Linked DNA regions of Schizosaccharomyces pombe. Changing the gene in region 1 together with any one later gene gives a genetic interaction. Each region holds a gene or a part of one and is shown on either strand. Other genes may lie near its edges. The genes, in order: amk2, ftp105, wdr7 and ypa1.

The links.
Region 2: mutations in amk2 (region 1) and ftp105 together harm fitness more than expected from each alone (negative genetic interaction), as found in Schizosaccharomyces pombe (3 studies listed by BioGRID).
Region 3: mutations in amk2 (region 1) and wdr7 together harm fitness more than expected from each alone (negative genetic interaction), as found in Schizosaccharomyces pombe (3 studies listed by BioGRID).
Region 4: mutations in amk2 (region 1) and ypa1 together harm fitness less than expected from each alone (positive genetic interaction), as found in Schizosaccharomyces pombe (3 studies listed by BioGRID).

The regions. Positions count from the first base shown.
Region 1 is NC_003421.2:2,206,947-2,210,837, reverse strand, and holds amk2 (serine/threonine protein kinase AMPK (beta) regulatory subunit Amk2), read left to right. Parts: upstream 1-1,810; 5' UTR 1,811-1,838; coding exon 1,839-1,863; exon of another isoform or gene 1,864-1,916; coding exon 1,917-2,177; exon of another isoform or gene 2,178-2,347; coding exon 2,348-2,450; intron 2,451-2,546; coding exon 2,547-3,015; intron 3,016-3,063; coding exon 3,064-3,102; 3' UTR 3,103-3,353; downstream 3,354-3,891. Other genes in the region: pbn1 (GPI synthesis protein pig-X), read right to left, coding at 3,368-3,891. UniProt on the Schizosaccharomyces pombe protein: Beta subunit of AMP-activated protein kinase (AMPK), which is required for transcriptional, metabolic, and developmental adaptations in response to glucose limitation.
Region 2 is NC_003424.3:1,784,425-1,790,906, forward strand, and holds ftp105 (Ubp5 interacting protein Ftp10), read left to right. Parts: upstream 1-1,945; 5' UTR 1,946-2,013; coding exon 2,014-2,033; exon of another isoform or gene 2,034-2,075; coding exon 2,076-2,118; exon of another isoform or gene 2,119-2,180; coding exon 2,181-2,213; exon of another isoform or gene 2,214-2,281; coding exon 2,282-2,928; intron 2,929-3,026; coding exon 3,027-3,234; intron 3,235-3,290; coding exon 3,291-3,668; intron 3,669-3,767; coding exon 3,768-4,022; exon of another isoform or gene 4,023-4,074; coding exon 4,075-5,268; 3' UTR 5,269-5,931; downstream 5,932-6,482. Other genes in the region: gus1 (glutamate-tRNA ligase), read right to left, coding at 1-661; protein saf5, read left to right, coding at 6,201-6,482. UniProt on the Schizosaccharomyces pombe protein: Required for the localization of ubp5 to the Golgi apparatus. Involved in detoxification of cadmium ion.
Region 3 is NC_003423.3:2,268,886-2,275,276, forward strand, and holds wdr7 (WDR7-like protein), read right to left. Parts: upstream 4,368-6,391; 5' UTR 4,310-4,367; intron 4,073-4,309; 5' UTR 3,892-4,072; coding exon 3,626-3,891; intron 3,546-3,625; coding exon 2,433-3,545; exon of another isoform or gene 2,390-2,432; coding exon 688-2,389; 3' UTR 683-687; downstream 1-682. Other genes in the region: SPOM_SPBC16H5.14C (DHRS family dehydrogenase), read left to right, coding at 1-111, 163-293, 348-682; SPOM_SPBC16H5.12C (uncharacterized protein), read left to right, coding at 5,188-5,199, 5,254-5,416, 5,725-5,836, 5,896-6,391.
Region 4 is NC_003424.3:4,834,390-4,838,137, forward strand, and holds ypa1 (type 2A protein phosphatase regulator), read left to right. Parts: upstream 1-1,805; 5' UTR 1,806-2,005; coding exon 2,006-2,878; exon of another isoform or gene 2,879-2,921; coding exon 2,922-3,026; 3' UTR 3,027-3,201; downstream 3,202-3,748. Other genes in the region: aspartyl metalloaminopeptidase Ape4, read left to right, coding at 1-39; trm7 (tRNA 2'-O-ribose methyltransferase), read right to left, coding at 481-1,314, 1,533-1,556; lip2 (lipoate-protein ligase), read right to left, coding at 3,261-3,748. UniProt on the Schizosaccharomyces pombe protein: PPIases accelerate the folding of proteins. It catalyzes the cis-trans isomerization of proline imidic peptide bonds in oligopeptides.

The DNA.
Region 1 (3,891 bases):
TAGAGCTACTGCTGAACCTCGTTCCTCAGTTCAGTTATGAGCTATATTAGTGATAGGTAACATTATAACCCAGTTAATACAATACCTATACTCAGTTGCTACTTATACAACCTGTGTATTGTAATATAATAGATCACAAGGAAAACTCACCGTAGTTCTACGTATCCTTAAATCAGATACCAAACTGCGTAGCGTACATACCAATTCTAAATACTACTATTCCTACAATACATTAATGTCAGCTTATATAAAATACACTACGATACACTATAACATATGCTCTAATATTCTATTTGCTCTATTTACTTACAAGATAAGTTATCAAGAAGATTATAATAGTGTTCAATAATAAAAAGATGTTATTTTATTACATAGTTTTTTCAATGCTTTAAATTAAGACAAACTGAACCTCGTTCCTCAGTTCAGTTATTAGCTAAATCGGTCACCAATACTAGTAGACTTATAACAATAAATATAATATTGTTAGTGAAGCATACCCATACCGTTATCTTGTAGCCCGCAAAAGAAACTCATCGCATTTTAGTGTATCGCTAAACAAATACCAAACTACGTAGCAAACAATAAATCGCGTAGGTTATTCATTAAAAGCCTCTAGGATATGTATGGGTATAATTTGTATATTTAAACGGTCTATTTCAAATCCTTCCTCGTGTTCGTGGCTTTAAAACAGCATAAAAAGATTACCACTGAAATCAAAATTTCGTTTGAGTTAGGTGAACGGAAAGAGTACTCTAACAGCATATTCAACCATATGTACTTCAATTCATGACATTTTTGTAATGGAACATATCATATCAAAAAACAATACTTCATACTTTATTGTATCATTAAACCAATACTGAGCTGCGTACTAACAACATATAAGTTTTCACTACTTTGCTTCGTTATAGATTATAAAGTGAAGGATTCATCGCAACAAAAATTCACGTTTGGTTTGGTAAAGTCGTCATTTAACTAAAAAATAATATATTCTTCGTTTCATATGGAATGTATTTAATCAGTACGTTCATTGAAAACACTGTTCTTGTTTTTGCAATGCAGTGATTTTAGTTCGCTTATTTCGCAGCATAATAAGTAGACATGAAAAATTGACGGAAATAGAGCATTTGATATCTAGAAATTCAGGCTTTTTTTAAGTTCGTAACTTAATTTGAGTGATTTCGTCTGAGAAATAGAAGCGTCTTTTTTACGAAAGAAGTTTTTGCGCCATACTTATATATTGTTATACTAGAACGTAGTTAAAAAAGATGAAGCTATACGAGCGTAATGTACAAGGTATTCATTAATTTATAAACATATAATATGCAGGCCTTTCGGTTATGGAAGTTTAACTCAATTAAAGCCTCGCTAAGTTACAATAATTATAAGTGAACCGCTTTTAGTGTATAATTAACTTGAAGGCCTCTCAATGCACAGAGTAGTTTAAAATTTTTCTATATCGTTTCATATGTAGCTTCAATAATTTTTTAAACATTTCCATTAAGAATGAGAAGCATGCTGCTTTTTACCTTCAAAAGATTATACATAGCTGTTGTAGAACTGTATTATACGTCCCAAATGCAATATTAAATTTTTCAGCTTTTATCATACAGCTTTTAGATATTTATTCTTTATAATAAATGGATTTTCAATTAATGTTTTCTTTGATAAAGCTGCAAAACAGTACGAAGCGTTTAACTGTGAATAACGCTGCACTTTAGCTTCCACTATTTAATGATAGCTTAGATACAATAAATAACCTTATTTCATGCTCGTTGGGGTTTAGTTCAAAGTGATGAGCTACAAAGCCAGAACAAACTACTTTACATCATTTCAAAATGGGAAATGTTCAATCTCAGGAGGGTAATGTCCTTTAAGTTAAACACATGTGAAATAAGTATCTAATTTAATGTTAGGAGAGACTCGCGCACATGCTGTCCCTTCTCAAGATGCCACAACAACGCCTGACAATGCAAATAACGTTCCAAAAGAACCACGTGCCCAAAGCATGATTAGTATTGCTGCAGATGATTTGAATCAAGAAGGTGAAATGTCGGATGATAATCAGCAGGAAGGCGGTAATAATCGTACTTCCCAAAACGGAACTTCAGGATCGAGTGGTCATACGAAACGCCGTTCTCAAACTTCAGGCAAGAAGACACATCAGCCTTATTCTGGTAAGTTTCTTTAAGACCGGTTTATTTGATTGCTTGACATCCTTATGTAACAAGGGTGATTTACCGTAACATTGCATTATCATTTAAGCTGTTGACCTTAACGTTTGTTTGCAATAGTTTTCAGAAAGGAGATTTTTTGCAATTGACAATTTAATTACTTACACATATAGGTCCTTGTGTGCCAACCATTATTCGATGGAGAGGAGGCGGTGAAGTTGTTTATGTCACTGGATCGTTTTCTCGTTGGAAGAAAAAAATCCAATTACTGAAAAGGTATGAGTTTTTCATGGTGTGCTTTTTTCTATATTTGAGCCTCCCTTTATAGGTTGTTTATCCTGTTTTAAGCTTGCTAACTTTTTCGCCAAATAGCGAAGATTACACTGTCCTTTTGCAATTACGTCCTGGAACTCAGCGTTTTAAATTCTTGGTTGATGGTATATGGTGCTGTTCTTCAGATTTTCCAACTGCCACCGATGCGGAAGGCAACCTTTACAACTACCTCGAGGTGGAAGCTAATGAGAAGTTAGGCGCTAGTATTGATGAAAGATTGAGTCAAGTTCATACGGACCTTCCGATGGAGGAAAAGTCTGAATCTGAGCAATATTCTACGGAGATACCAGCTTTTCTTACTAGCAACACCCTTCAAGAGTTGAAGTTGCCAAAGCCCCCTTCTCTACCTCCTCATCTTGAGAAGTGTATCCTTAACTCAAATACTGCCTATAAGGAGGATCAGTCTGTCTTGCCAAATCCTAATCACGTCCTTTTAAACCATTTAGCAGCTGCAAATACCCAGTTAGGCGTTCTCGCTTTAAGTGCTACTACGCGCTATCATCGAAAGGTAAGTCGGTTCCTTATACGCGTTGCTTGACTAACTTTGTTTCCCCAGTATGTCACTACTGCTATGTTTAAAAATTTTGATGTCTAGCCATACCGCATCTGTCGAATTTATTGTTTATATTTCGCGACGTATATAATCACTTTAATGATAAATTTATTTTTTTAAATTTCTCAAACATCCCATCATTATACTTCATTTGATTGGTTTATTTGCACGATTTTGTTTCGAGAAAACTTTACGCTGTGATATCAAGCACAAAGCAACCAGTTCATATTTCACTATGTAGCGATCCATAGGTTAATTAATTTTTATAAATACATATCTAGTTACTTCACTTCACGATGTTATTCTCTTAATCCTTTGCGTAACGGAACCTTTTCCACAAATATAGCAATAGGTAGAAGAACGAAAAAATCGCGACTCCATTAGTCACCCATTCTACGACATGTTTATAGGATAAATCGGCTATTGGAATAGATATGCTTAAGGTTGTTGGATCGTTTTGTAAGGTATATTTGTTCTTACTGGAAAACAGAAATCTGAAATCATTTACTTTGTCTTCAGTGTCACAATTCCAGAAAAACTTGGGATTTGTTAATGATGTTTTTAAGTATGTTTGTCCTTTGAGAGGGCTTTGATAACGTGTGTGTAAGGGAATGATAGTGTCTATATAGTCTTTTTGCAACAAACCATCGTCCGTATATATGTCAAACCAGAAAAAAGACCCAGTACCATTTAATTTGTAACTAGGTGCTTCCAAGTCGGTCTCACCCCAAATTCCTAAAACATGCCCTAAATTGTCGGCATGCATTTCCGCAATATTAGATAGCTCGTACCTGTCAATAAACAATGTAGGTGGTATGTACATGAACCCCT
Region 2 (6,482 bases), on another chromosome or scaffold:
TGTGCAAATATCCACTAGGTTCGGGAGGAAATCTGGTGACCACCTTACCATCAATGGCATCAGGAAGACCGATCTCGTAGTTAGGACCAGAAGATTTTTGTTTTTTGCTAATATTAACTGCCTTGGTGAATTCTTCCATGGTGACACTCACGGCATTTTGAGAATCCATAAACTTGTACCAACGAGCAAGGTTGAAATACTGGCCAGTGCGTACGGCACCAGCTGCCATGTTGTTTGATTTTAAGGCACCCCAAATAGAAAAATCAGCAGAGGTGAGGGAATAACCCACAAAAAGAGAGCGCATAATTAAATGGTCGTCTAACTGAGCAAGAAGTGAAGAAAGCTCAAGAAAGTTGTGGTTACCAGCTAAGGCAGAGGCAGTTTCCACCCAACTCTCAACCAAAGAACGATCGTTTTCGCCAATGAAAAGTTTAGGATAGACTTGAGAGAAAGTCTGTAAAGCCAACTTGGAACCGAATACAGGAGAATCAGAGCCGTTAAGCTGAATGGAGACGTTCGATTCCTTGTTTTGTTTGTCTAATAAAGCAACGTCCTCATACTTGACGGAAATGCTTCCTGCACCAGACAGATTCACATAATTTGCACATGCAACTGCACCATAAGCAATGGGCTTTGCTTTTAATGCAACACTAACTGACATTTTCCCAAAACCGGTGGTGAAAATTGTCGAACTTGGTTCGTGGTAAGTTGGTGTCGAAGTGATTTTTAGGGTATTAGTGTATGGTAAAGGTATGTTTGCAAAACACTAAAAATCCAAACCAGAAAAATTCGAACGCAGTACGAAGTTGACCGAAAAAAAAGGATTCTATTTAAGTACAAATTAGATTATAGATAAGGAATTCAAGTTCATGTCTGACCTTGATTAATTTTCTTTCCAGCATTTTTCGCTAATCTGCTAATTTTATACAGATATGAACCGAAACCGAGGGTTTCTCGTTATACTGTTTACCATTTTCTAACGTAAATCGGTATACCGATAAGAAAAGAGAATAGATACATAATAACAGAGTGGAGTTGAAACAATCAGAAGAATGGAAGAAAAGTCATTTTTTTGTTAATAATTACCTGTTAATCAGCTATAGGATTAAAGGAAAAAGTAGGAAAAATCATCTACCAAGTTAATTAATAAGATCTTTATCATCTCATTTATTTAGTTATCTTGCTATTGACAATTTTGACGATATCAAATACATATATGACATTTCAAGTACATTGAGAGTAGAAAAAGAGCACCTTTTATAATTGAAATTATTATAAATTGGAAAAAAATCTCACTTCAAAATAGATAGCTGCTTTGTTTATTTTACAGAAATAGCTAAAATTTGAATACAGCCATTTATAATGTACTTCATTGTATATAATATAAGGAACTCTAACATATCACGGCATAGTCTAGCGATTCATCTACTGAACATGTAAATATATCATTGTTTGCTTCGACAGATGTCTCATGTGGTTTTGCCGCGTGAGTTATACAGTAGATGAATTGTTTACAGCTATACAGTTTCCTTGTTTTTTTTATAACTGAGAAACCTTTGAGGTTTATCTGATGGCACGGTAATTATGAGATAACGAGTAGAAACCAAAAACTCACAAACATTTAAATGCAGTTCAGCAGGTAGCTGAAGTCTCTTTGACAAGCTGTATTTCTTCCTTAATTCTCATTTCGTGATGGTAATCAATTGTTTTCCTTACCCTGCCTCCTAACAAATTGCAGTTTGCTAAAAAGTGTTTACCAAATAGTGAGTCATAGTGCATTGACTGTAAATGTGAAAATTCGTCGTAATGCTAACGATCATTAAATGTACGGTAGAGCTAACAAATTAACTCGAGCAATAATAAAATTTCGCAATATGAAATAATGCATCTTTTGGAAACTTAGCGCGCGAATAAAGTATACACATGGACGGGTCTACTAGTACCTAACGATTATCGATGAAGCTGCAGCGTTTGTCAAGAGCACTTTACGGTTTTCGCATCTAATTAGAGAATATGGGAGGCCAAGAGTCAAAGTAAGTAACATTGCGAAATTTTCGTATGAGCTAACTGTTTAGATTGGCATTTCAGCGAGGAATTGCAAGATTAGCTTCTCAACCGGTACGGTTTGTGTTTATGGGTGGATGATACGCTAAGAGAACATTGCAAGCTAATTCTAGTAGGATATACCGTTGGATGATGAAGTTTGGGTTTCTGTATGAAATTTTTTTTATTAACTTGTGTAAGACGCTTTTACTAATGTATTCGTTTTTATGTTTATTAGCTTTGGAGTGTACCTGAAAGTTGTCCAGAAGTTTACGATTTTTTTCCCCCAGGTCTCATTCGTGAGATGAGGGATCATGCCTTTGTAAACCTTGAAAAATTGCTGCTTGTATTGACATCTCGTTTGTTTGCGTTGAAAAATGACAAAAAGTTTCCAAATCCTGAAACGGCACCAGCGAGTGAAGCGTTAAACTGCATTCGCCTACTTACTAGAATCATTCCTTTTTTGAATGAGAAACTCGATTTAGAAGAATGGCATCAAAAGTTTTGGTGGAGCCTTAGAAAGAAGAGAAATTTACCAAAGGAAAATTCCGAATTAGACCTTAGTAATTTTCAAGACGATCTAGATTTTGAAAATTCCATCTCCCAAAAGAACGAATTCTCGCAGAAGTCTCCTTCAGTCCCATTATCTCCTGTGAGCACCTTTCCTGCTTCTTCCATCTCCCTTGATGCTTCTTCAGACGTCTCTGCCGCTGACGTATCAGTAGGTGGTTCTAGCACAATCAAAGAAATTGGCTCTATTGAAGAAACTTTTACTCATGAAAAAACTTTAATGGAGGAATTGCTGGACACCGTCTTTCGTTTGCTTTTTTGCAGAGGCTTTACGCTTCCTCTTTCAAGTCCTGAGCAATATGCATACATTATATGGTAAGTATATATGTATATATATATATATTTTTTTTTTGTTTTTCGTTTGCTTTTTTATATTTGGTTAAATGCAATGTGTTAACTAATCACTTTTGCAGGGAAAATGGAATTGGTACAACAGAAACCCAAGAGAAAACCACAAAGGAACTTGCGTTTAATCGCATTGAGGTTCTTCGTTTGCTGTTAGTATTGATTTCTAAAAGGCTGTATCGATCTTCTGAAGTAGCTTCTCACACCCTTACTTATTTGACCTGTGTAGCAAATAAGCAGCTTATACTAGTTTTTCTTTATTCCCTTATAAATACTGTAAGTTTTGGCTTAAAATTTACCTTTTTTTGTTGTACAACTAACTTAGTTTTTAGACTTTGCGACTTAGACCTGATAGCTGGAAGGCTTCGTATTCAACTCTAGTACCTTATAATGATTCTAGCATTGCACTCTCAAAACTTACTTCTCAAATCCTTTTGCTTTTTTTAGATCACACCCCTCATGAAACAACAGTCGAATACTTCAGACAGAGACTCAATCTTTCTCCTGGCGCTGCTATCGAAAATCAGTATAGATTATATTTTTCTCGACTTCAATTACAAGCTGATTATGAATTTTTAGTTAACGAACTATATCGGCTATTGAATGCACCAGTTTCCGCTATCTCTGCCTATATTTCAATTGTACAAAAGCCTAATATCGCGTTTCCGGAAATTATTTTGTTTCTTTGGCAAGCAATTTTATATAATAAAGTATGTTCAACGGTCCTTTTATATATATTACATTATTTGTACAGTTGTTTAATTTATGTTGTTACGCGTTCATTATATTTGCTAACTAATTTAAAACAGCGTTTCCGAGCATTTTTGATCACTTCTCCTTATGCTACGGAGTTTTTAACTTCTATTCAGTTTTATGCACTTAGATATCGTGAAGACAATGAACATTCCGGCCTTGTTCGCATTTGCCTTTTTATCGTTCATTATTTATCATGCGAGAAGGTTCTTTGTGAAAAACTAAATAGAAACTGTATGAATGCACAATCATTGATGTCTTCCCTTGGGTTCTCAGTCCCACCAATGTCTTATGCAGAGTTTTTGATTATCGTAAGATTCACGATTAATTGTTTATTTTAATTTTATTACTTACGCCTTCCAGTCTAGCTTTCATATTTCAGCAGTGAAGAGATCTCCGTTTAGCAGTTTATCTCCTGTTATATTGTTGACCATATGCAATATTGCACCATTTGTTGAAAACCTAAGTTTCGTTACGTGTGCCAAATTAATGCAACTCTGTTCATCTCTTTCATCTCCTCGGTTTCTTTTTCGTAATCCGCGCAATCATCTGCTTCTTGAATACCTGTTACAGGCTATTTCTAGTATAGTTGAAAACAAGTTTTCTCAAAACCCTAATCTCAGTTATTCTATTATTCGCCTCCAGCAAGTTTTTTTGAATCTTAATTCTATGAAACTTCCTGCCGTTGCTCAGACTAAATCACAGCCTTTAGTGGCCCTCAATTCGGAAGGAAGTAGTGATTTTGAATCTAAATCATCCGATAACACCTCCTTAGATGGAACACCACTCCAAAATACTGACTTTAAAAAAGTTGCTACCGTTGAAGATGATTCACCTTTCGATGAATTAGATAAATTTTCCTCCCCTTTTAGTAGCAGTAGTTCACGCGGTGGCTTATCACATATTTCGAGTAGAAATGTTTCGATTTCTGTCCCGACAGTCCTTCAAGATGTATTCTCAGATTCTCCATTGGTTCTGTCTAGAAAGTTGCGTGGGAAAATACCGGAAAATGTTTCTAGTTCAGAACTTATTAAAAAATGTGCATCCAATCCGTTTGGAAAAGATTTAGAAATTGACTCAAATTTGTTTGCACCTTCCAACTCGTGGTTTAATTCTTGGCATTCAAGACTTGAATTGGATTCTATTCTAGCCATTATATCTCAGTTTTCTCTACCTGTATACAAGAAAATGAATGAAGAATTATCAACTACTGACGAAGCTGTTAAACTATTAGCTAACTCTGTGCTAAATGATGTACATCCTCGAGTTCCCAATTTTCGCTACTTTATTTGGAGTGTCCCTATGAATAATTGGTTTCAAAGTCTTGTTTGGCTTTATACTTTGTCATTTGATGAAAAAGGTTTAATGGCTACTCCCTCTTTATTTACAACCTCTAAAGTGTACAAACAACATGGAAATATCATGAAAGTTGCATCTCCTGAAAACAGTTCTAACTCAATGGAGAATGCCACAAAATCTATACTTGACAAACTCGATTTGCTGTATTTACAGCTGCCAAGTAGTGTCAACCACGATTCCAGTTTACGCAACAAGTGATTCTTAAATTCAATGCGTAAATTAAAGTATACTTTTGTCCTAAAAAATATTTGAAGAAAACCCTGCATGCATGTTATGGTATCTTACTTTGAAAATTTATTGATTAAATTGTTCACTAAAAAATTATCTTGGAGGATTTGCATCCACATACTGCCATCATTTAATTATATACTGATGACCAGAATCTTGCCTTGCTAATTTTGATTTTTGAACTTTTCGATTTGTTTTCATTCTATTAATTAACTAAAAACTGGCTTGGAGAATCTTCTGCTCCAACCTTGTCACTAGCTTTAAAAAAGTCTTTCGAAGTTTGATTTGGAAAGTTGGTGTTTGAAAGTCAATCTCGTATACTTTAGAAAGACCCACCTTTATGAGAGAAACGATCCACTGATGCTAATTCATTACATGTATCCAAATCAATGTATAACCTTATATAGCAATGAATTGGTTGCTAAAAAATTCTTAGCTTTATTTCGCTACACTTATAAATCTGTTTACTATATAAAATAAAAAATCCAATTTCAAAAGTTTTGAGTCCCAATTTTTTGGGTAACGAGGATTACTTCATAAAGACCTTAGACCTTTCCTTTATTTTTTCCACAAAACTATTTATATTCATGAGTTTGTTTTGTAATTGCAATGAATAACTAGCTTGTCATTTACGAAAATTGCATATCAAAAGTATTTGAGTAAAATCGATATCCTGTTTGGCATAATGGTTCAATTTATAAAAAATTCGTGTGGTTAAGAGTAGAAATATATTTTCGATTTTGCGAAATGCTTAATATGCGAAGATATTGTATTTGAGTACTTCAAAAGAATACAACGCACAGTAAACCTTTTCTTTCAATAAATTATCAGGTAGAGGTGGCCTTATTACTGTTTTTTAATAATTTTTATGCTTAAATACCTATTGGAAGCAAGAAGTAATTATGATTACCAAAATTGACTCACTTCCAAAGGACCTAATTCGCAAAGTTGAAAATGGTGAAAAGTTGTTGCCAAATCAAGAAATCGTTTATTTTGAAGAAAAAACAGTCCCCTATAAAATTAGAAGTGATGAGGAAAGTTTTCCTTTGGGCAAATTGATAACTTTATTAGTAACTTCACAGAGCTTTATCCTTTTTGATGAAGAACAGAATTCTGGCTGGAAAATTCCATATGAAACCATTACTCTTCATGCGAAACAAAGCAAGGATAAGCCATATGTATAT
Region 3 (6,391 bases), on another chromosome or scaffold:
ATGTGTCCATTCTTTGAAAAAGATGAACAGGACCCCTTTTGCTCTGATCAATGCTGCAGCTATTGCTCCAAAAAATCATTTGCTGTCTATATCAAGACAAGAATTACAAAAGTAAGTACAGGTTAAGCGTAGTAAGCCTTATTTTCTAACTGCTTAATTTAGATGCTTTGAAACAAATGTGATCGGACAGCTGGCAATTACATCTGCATTATTTCCTCTCCTTTTACAAGATCCAAATCCTCATGTGGTCAACATAGCATCCTCCTTGGCTTATTTTAGTGCGATGGGAGTCGGTAAGTGGGGTTGATTTTATAAAATTTGCTTTTCCTTTCTAACGTGATTAACAGGTGCCTATTCATCTTCAAAAGCGGCACTAGTTTCGCTACATGAAACATTAGAGGAAGAGGTTTTATCACAGCATCCCAACTTCAAGTTTTCTCTTTATGTTTTAGGGCAAATTAAATCTACAATGTTCGAAAAAGATACCCCAAACAGAGTATTAGCCCCTCTACTAGAACCTCAAAACTTAGCAAAAATTATTATTCAAAACTTATATACAAACAAATCGGGTCGTTTTTACTATCCATTTTACGCACGTTTTATGCCTCTACTGAGGTTTTTCCCACTTCCAATACAAAAATTGGCTCGTCTATTTAGTGGCATGGATAAAATTTATTCATAATCCACCTACAAGTCAATGATAGCAAAGGTGCTCCCAATATGGACTTCTGCTGATGACTGGCTAATCCATAGGACTTCAGGAATTTCAACCTCATTCGTTTTGTTAGTTTGTAATAATATACGTTTTCGGATCGTTAATGAAGGTGTTGATAAGTTCAAGAATTTTACGAAATCTTGGCTGTATTTCCAAATAATGCATTCCTTTTGCGTAGCACTGACTCCAACAAAATAGTCACCAGAAGGACTGGCGGACAATACCTGAATATCACATTCGGCGTTTTCCTTGCTGACGACTTTCCTTCTTTTAGCTATTTCATAAACCACAAGATCACCATCGTCAATGTAGGAATATTTTTCCACCTTACTATCAAAACATGCAAATGGAAATTGGGTTGCAATTGCGTTAGTAACGTCGTGAACTTCTTCAACCGAGCGGCTAGAGTAAAGGATTGGAAGTAATTTTTCCGTGATCAATTGATTAAATAAAGAAAATTCGGATTGTGTGTTTTCAATTGCCAAAGACACAACTTTTAGTATAACGGAACGTAAATTTGATTTCATTTGCTCATAAACTTCATCGCATAAACATGTAAGCAGTAAAACAGCATTCGAAACTGAGACATCCACTATTGATCTATAGAGAATGCTATTTTTATCATCCAAATCCTTAGTATTCTCTAAGGATGACAAAACCAGGTTGTATATAAACTTTGCAGGATCAATATGTTTTGAAAACACGGAAAAACCATTACTCAACAGGCGAATTGCTGTTAAGTCATAGTCCATACTTTCGGATTTTTGTAATAAATAGGAAGACAAAAATTTCAATTGTGAAACATCAAATGCTGAAGGCCGTAAACTGACAATTAATGACAAGATGTACAGTGAATGTTGCACCTCCTTTTTCAGATAGTACTCTCCACCTGTAGTCGTAAAAAACTCAAAATAATAATATATAAGCCTCTGAAGTTCCTCTGGAGATATAAGTTCCAATGTTCTCGACAACATTGATTTAATTATACCCTGCATAACCTTGCCTGAATTATTCCAGACGTATGAAAGAACGGAAATACTGTAATCAACCGTTTTCAGGTCTTTTAACTTTAATAATATTCCTTCAGTCAATTTGGTATCGCTCAGCCCATCATATTTACATAAAGGAACCATTAGAGAAAAATATAGATATAACAGCAAAGCGGAACAATTTGGTGCAGTATTTATTATTGACTTCATTTCGGTGTCAAATCGAAGTATGGCATTTCCATCTGGCTTACCCACACCAAGATGCAAACTGGATTGATCAAAAACAGTACCTAACAACTGATGCTCCATCTCTATATCAGAGTTTAGGAAAGGAGGTTGGATAAAGTCAAGGAACTCGTCAATATACGTTTTTTCTATGTAATTTTCATTAGAAAAATTGAGGTTCAGTACTAAATCATGAGCGTCTAAAAAAACAGTAACCAAATTATCGGTGAGTAAAGCACAAGAACCATGATACAAAGTAGGGAGGTTAGATTTATCAAAAGTACCAATAGATATGAACGAAGAGTCAATAATATCTGAATAATTTCCTTCAGAACATTTTTGATCCACAACGTCCCAATTTAATAGTTGAAAATTGTCATAAGCAACATAGATTTGATCTAAATCGGGAAATGAGTACAAAGTTTCAACTTGAGCACCATCAGATGGCAAGTAGCTTAGACTATAAAAGTCGATTAATAACTGATAACACACTGATAACTTACAGATTATAAGATTCATCCAAGGCACACAATGAGCCATCTAAACTCATAAAAATAAATAAGCCTGATGAACCAGAAGATAATGATTTCTTTGCATGAATAATTTTAGTAATTGAAGAAGATTGCAAAGCACGCTCGCAGAGAAATCTCCATCTTTCACCCTGAAGTTGTTGATAAAAGTAAGCCTTTCCAGTTTTGGTAGCAACAACTAAAATTGAGCGTGAATGTTCAGTTTCAAATATTTTCATATATGTTACAATTCCAGAAACCCTTGTAAAAGAGTAAAGAGGAGCTGGATCATTGTGAAGGTACCAGTCAAACAAAGAAAACATCACTAAACCAGAGGTTGTTCCAAGGAATAAATTAAGAGAGTCCGTATAAGCGTAGGAAACAGCAGCTGTATTGCTCAACTTACAAAGATTGCATGAGTCTACGGTTCCTTCTGTTAACCAATTGAAAGTTATTTTTTCGGGATAAACACACAAACTAACGGGTTTACTTTTTAAAATGGTGCACGATTTCCATGGAAAATCTCCAGAATACTTAGAAATTAATTCGAAATGAGGTTCAGGAGATTGATGAAGTTTGAGTAAAGTTGAAGACGAAAGAGTAAAAATACAAGCCGTGCCATCAGCCAAAACAAATACAGATGTTATCTCTGCAAGTGAATATGAAGCTATAAATTTCTCATGCGATTCCAATAGTACTACCGCATCCGAGTATACATATAGCGCATAATTGGAAGAAATGCAATCTGCTGGTACAACATCAATAACCTTACCAAAAGTTGGTTTAACATCTGCTTTTGTAACTGAATTTCTTTTAAAAGTAAGAGCTGACCAATCAACTGACCAAAGAGATACAGATCCATCTGAATAGGCGACAGGGATTAATAAAGCTTCGTCTTTGAACGGAAACAAAATAGGCCAGTCCTCATGACCAGTCCAAGTCGCAACTATCTGAAAGTTGGAGATTCTAATGAGATATATTTTCAAAAAGGTTCCGGTAACAGCAAGAAAGTTGTTATTTAATCTAAATAGCTTTAAACATAGCCCGTCACACAATTGCAAAGTAGCTCGTCGGTCACATGTTTTCAGTAGCCATTGACAAAGTAATCTGAGAAAATGTTAGCAAGAAATAAGTTAAATAATGAATTTGATAATTGCTGCTCGGCTAATGAGAGTTGCTCAACATACCCAGATTCGTCGAGTGTAATGATTGATAGGTCTACAATTCCATCAGCTTCAAATGGAAGGCAAACTATAGAAGAAACGGAATGTTTGTGTGCTATAAATGTTTGGATCAAAGTGAAATGATTGTCTGTAGAAACGTCAAATACCATGACTTGGCCGGAACATTGGCCTACTATCAAATACTGATCAAAACAATGTATTGAAGACACGTCAAGGCCTTCATCTAACAAATGAGTTTTACAGCTTTTCGACAATGCAACCCAATCCATTTTGATTCGCAATCAACAACGGTCTAAGGCTGACATCAATTTTGAACGCTGTTCGAACACGGCTTCCCAAATAACCACTCAATTCAGTAATTGTTAAACCTTTTTAAATATAAAAGTAATTGAAAACGCAGAAAATGAAATTAAAACAATATTTAGGCAGACTAACAGTTGCCGCGATATTCTTGAATGTAAAATTAGCAAATTCGGAACGCAAACGAATAAACAAGATGCAACAAGTATTTGAGGAAGAGAATCTAAGAAAAATGAAGAACTTGCAACAGCCATAGACAAGAATGTCTAACAAATAGCCATGTAAACAATTCGTCCATCCGTCATTTAATAGAATGTATGCATCGACAGCTCCGATTGTATCAATCATTACATAAATCTCTTCATTCTTGAATTATATACAACTTACACTTCTCCAAAATTTATACCACTGCACACAACTTCGAATTCCACTCGGTGGTGGGAATGTGCTGCTGTGCTACTTGAAGCACGCGAATACTATATGACCTAGTTGATGGGGCGATGCCCTTGCTTCCAAATCTTGACAATACTTAGTAGTAAGAATACAGCGTACAAACGAGTTTAAGTTATAGTAAACGAGCATTATTTAATAACACAAAAGAGTATTGTTGTACATAGAAAAAAACCGAAAAAATTGCTAACAGTCTTATTTTATTCAATTTGCCAAATAAACAGAACATTTACATACTTCAAATGTTGTAAATTTCGCACTGCAACTAGTATTCAAATCTCAACCTGGAAAAACGATATAACGAAATTGAAATATACTTCAGACTGTAGCATCATCTACTGTACACGAGGCAAACTTAAGTCATAGTATGTGTAAAATAAGTTAACAATTCCATTCCAAAGCTGCAACATTTAACATATACCCTAATAAACTCTGCCGTCCCGATTACCGAGCTTTCTCAAGAATTTTGTAATCCTTCATTGAAGCACCTTTTTTTTTCATATTTATATATAAATATATATATTAATATATACTAAATTTTATTTTTATTTTTATTTTTTGTGGAGTTTTATACTACAGAAATACAATTGTCACGTTAAAAATTTCAAAAACTATCTATTAACTGCTGCTTTTTGTGTATTTATATATTTAATTTACTTTACTTCGTTTGTGGTGGATCTAAGTTATAACATTACGAAGCAACATTCTCTTATTGTAGTAGGAAGTAGTACAGTGCCGAAACTGAGGCATCATCACAAAACCCTTACTCAACACCATTTACTGTTTTATCCGTTTCATTAGATTTTTACGATATAATGAGCGTGGATGTAAGTATAGATCTAATGAATCTTTGCAAAAATTTTAAACTAATTACATAAAAGACGGCTAAAAGTGATATTCAAGCGGAACCTTCAACTGGGACGCTGGAAAATAAATCCTCTAAAACGTACTCAGATTCCGAGAATAATTCCACGTTGGATGTTTCAGCTCAAGTACTCACATTGGATAATAAATCCAGGATCTTATGTATTGCCGATGTTCGAGGTAAGTATGCGTTGTTTATGGATTTAGAGCTGCCAGCGAGAATTCAAAAGCACCCCATCGGGGGAATTATCGACGATCGTTTTACTTTTTAAGATAAGAAGATGCGAATTTGTATGCTTTTGCATGAACTTATCCATAATGGCTTAGCAGGAGTTGAAGCGCAATTGCTCAATTTACTCATTTTGTCATTAAAGATCCTCGTTGGTTCGTAAAAGAATTTTGTCCATACACTTTATTCTCCTTAGCTATTCCTATCCTTAAAATTACTACTCTTTAATACGCGTTTTTACTAATAACTATCCCTTCAGGTGAACTGAGTTTAATAAATAGCCTGGTTGAGGAAACCAATGCCTCCTGTGTCATCCACACTGGTGACTTTGGATTTTTTGAGCGATCCTCACTTCCTAGCATATCTGAACGGTATGTTTTGTGTCAAAAATTTTTATGTTTCATTTTTCTTTGTTCTAACCTTTTTTCAGTACTCTTCGTCACATTGTCCAATTCTCGCCTCTCATAAAAAAGCTTCCTAGGTCCAAAAACTTTGATTATTATCCCTCGAATCCAATTGGGGATTTGAAGAATAGTATTGCTTCTCACCCCGATTGCCTGCTTTCAGAATTACCTCAATTTTTGTCACAAGAGAAGAAATTCTCAGTCCCTGTATATGTAGTATGGGGAGCTTGCGAAGATGTGCACGTTTTGGAAAAATTTCGTTCTGGAGAATATTCTATTCCAAACCTTAACATAGTGGACGAACTTCATTCCTACCTATTGCAAATTGGAGATATGAAAATCCGTTTACTTGGTCTTGGAGGTCCTTATGTCCCTTTTAAGCTTTTTGACAATGGAGACGGTAAAGGAACTATTGCTGGTGGCCAGGGTACTATGTGGACTACAATCCTTCAAATGGGTGAACTAATAGAAACCGCTAAGAGCCTGCTTGACAGAGAGGAGGCACGTATTTTTATTACGCAT
Region 4 (3,748 bases), on another chromosome or scaffold:
TTTGCAAATTTGGAAGAAAAAATCATTATTGATGAATAGTTTACCAAGTTTGTTTATGTCTTACACCTCATGATACTATGGGTTCATAAGAACGCCATGAAATTTACCGAACTCGTATCTGTTGGCCGTGCTATGAGTAGTACTAGTTGCCTCTCTTATAGTTATGAAAATGATATCCACATGACAATTATAATCATAACCCCATGATTTGCTATAGCAAGGTATAAAGTTAAACATGACTAGCAAGTCTTTCAACGAAAGCATGTGTGTATCAAAAGTAATTGATTTAGATAAAAATTCATAAGAGGAAATTCTGATTATAAGTATACCGAACACATCCTGCTTTCTTTAATTTTTTTATGAAAAAAGAATGATAGGTTCAAAAATAGATTATACCTATATAATATACAATAGTAAAACCCACTGCTAAATTAAACGAAAGAAAAGATTAAATAAAAAAGAGACAATTGGAATAATAGGTTACGACATCATCTTGCTATGCTTCAATTCGATAGCTCGTTTATAAGGAGGAGCGGTTGGAGGTTGTATAACGTCTAAGGTAGCCTTTTTCATATTTATTTCAACGGGATAAGTAGCGTCCGCATCATAACCATCAAGGTCACCACATGCAATAAATGGTGCAATCTCATGAGCATTGGTTGGATCGATTACACATAAAGGTTTTGTTAAATCGGGTTGAAAATTAGAAGGGGGGTTAAAATCTTCACAAACGACAAAGGACTCGATAGAGCTAGCACGAGAGCTTCTTGGTTTAGCACAAGAAACTTTTCGAAACATCAAACGAAGCTGAGAGTATAACAGTGAAACATCTCGTCCACGAAAAATTTTTGCAACAAATTTCCCACCAGGCTTTAAAACACAAACCGCTAAATTAAATGCAGCTAACAATATCTGTGCTTGAATATATTCATCTAGGTCGTGCAAACCAGTAACATCTGGGGCACCATCACTAACTACGAGATCAGCCGGTTCATTACCAAAGTGAGACAAAATAATTGAAAGGGTGTTGGGATGAGTAATGTCTAATTGCAGGGTGCATACCCCATCGATTGGTGCCATGGGTTGAAGATCAACAGCAACAATCATAGGTTTCTCATCTGCGGCAATGGAAGTATCAATGTTTTTGAGTAACTCACGAGACAAAACTTGAGACCAAGACCCCGGTGCAGCACATAAGTCTACAACTCTTTTTGCTCCTTCAAATAAATTGAACTGTTCGTTTAATTGGAGCAATTTGAAAGCTGAGCGGGCTCTCCACCCTTGTTCCTTCGCCAGACGATAATAGGCATCTCTCTAAAAAAGTGTAAAGTTAGTATTTTAACAAAATAAATAGTTAAATAATTATTTAGCAATAAAAAAAAAATGAAATAATAAACTAAAATGTTTCTATATGCGACTGAGAAACATTAAAGTTTACACATTAATATACGATATAACTTCGATAAAATTAACGTAAACTTTTCGCTACAAAGTTAAGTATTTACAAGGTTTCAGTAACGCACGAGACATACCTTATCTTTGCTGCTTCTCCCCATTTGTTTTTCAGTTTGGTAAAAACTGGTTGAAATTATTATATTCGTTTCTTGCATCGATTGTATTGAATAAACATATCGTTAAATATTGATTAGGAGATAATTATTTCGGTAGCGTATTGTTATGAAGTGGTTCGAATTAACATATGGATACATCACTATAAAGATTTTAGGATATAATCACATCCATAGTACTAATTATCGTTAAACTAATCTTAATCAAGTTATTGAATAAGCTAAATGCTTCTTCTCGAATACTGCTATTATACTCTATCTTGATGAAAGCAATATCAAGCTGTTTTTAAATGCTGTTATAGTTGCTGTTATATTCTTTAACTTGGTCCTGGTTTTTTTTAATAAAGAGTCGTTCATCAAAGCCTGTAACTTAGTGAGTGTCGTAAATCTATTGGCGTATACGCGAACTTGATTGATTCATTGTTTATTGCTTTACAATGCAAGTCGTAGATGAGAAAACAATACTAGAGCTTGAAAATGAAAGGTTTGATGAAAGTTCACAGTTTAAAACTCCCGAAAAACTAATCGTGGAGGCGAGCGATATGACGGCGTTTCGACAATCGAAAGCATATTATCGAATTTTTGATTTTTTACAGCGTCTCAATATTGCATCTGTGGGTGTGAACGATTATCATGTGGAATACTCAACAAGAGTTGAAAAGTTAGTACGAATATTGTGTAGAGTTAAAGAAATTACTAAAACTGTACCACCTGCATCAGGTCGGCATCGGTTTGGTAATCCTGCTTTTCGAATATGGCACGAAAAGCTACGTGACTCCGCCTCTCAAATTATGGACATCATTATTCCTGATTCATTGAGTAAGGCAAAAGTGGAGTTACTGGACTATTTTTTGGGATCGTTTGGTAATTCTCAAAGAATTGACTTTGGTACGGGTCATGAGTTAAATTTTTTGGGTTTTATTAAGGGCTTGGACTTGCTGGGACTTTTAGATGCCGCAGATTATAAAGCTATCGCCTTGTACATAACCCATGTTTACTTGGAAGTTTGTCGTGAGCTCGTTCAAACTTATCGCTTAGAGCCTGCTGGCTCACATGGAGTTTGGGGGCTTGATGATCATTTTTTTATTCCTTATATTTTTGGTTCTGCCCAACTTGCTGATAAGGCATCATCTTCCATCATAAAGCCTGATGCTATACTTAACAAAAAAATAGTGGATGAAAAAGCTAATAGCAACTTGTATTTTAGTGCTATCAAGTTTATAAACGTGATGAAAAAGGGCCCATTTTACGAACATTCCCCAATATTGTATGATATAACCGCTGTTCCTATATGGTCAAAGGTCAATCAGGTATGTTAAGAAGTGTGTATTTATTAAGCTAATTACTTTCAAGGGATTGATAAAAATGTACGATGTGGAAGTGCTGAGCAAATATCCTGTTGTTCAACACTTTCATTTTGGAAATCTCTTTCCGTTTAACCCTTTAGTTGCAAAGTAGTTTAACTTTAATCTTTCGTGCAATTTCAAAAACAAATAGTCACTGTTATTAATGTTATGTTTTATTTATTGTATCTTTTATGGTTGCTGATAAGCTATTTTATAGGGGCCAAAAGGAAGGAAAGCCCGCAAATTTACTGAAAAAATTTTTAATAAACCAAATTATCGCAAGAATAGCATTACTGTTATTGCATTATATTTTTTATAAGTAATACTGTTTCTAATACATTTAAATTTATTTACTCATTAAAAAGCTATCAAGGTTATTTACCAGTACCTTCTCTACAGACTTTAAGTCAGTAAAAACTCCTTGGTCTTTAAAACTGGTAGTGTTTTTTCCATATAATCCGCAACCCACAATGTAATTGAAATACTTAAGATCCGTACTAACATTGAGCGCAAGACCATGACTAGTAATATTTCGGCGTAAATGAATACCAATTGCTGCAATTTTATCGTTTTCTGTTACCCACACACCGGTGTTTTTTGTTGTATGAGCTTTTTCGATGCCAAAGCTTTTACATGTTGCTATAATCGCTTGCTCTAGCCTTGACACATATTCACGTGGACTTAATCCAAAGGACTTCAAATCAATAATAGGATATGCAAGTATTTGACCAGGACCATGAAATGTAGTTTGCCCACCACGCAATGCTTTAACAACTTTAGCCTTAGGGAAGCCTTTGGTAAAATTAATTGAAGATTCCCTTCTTCCCAGTGTAT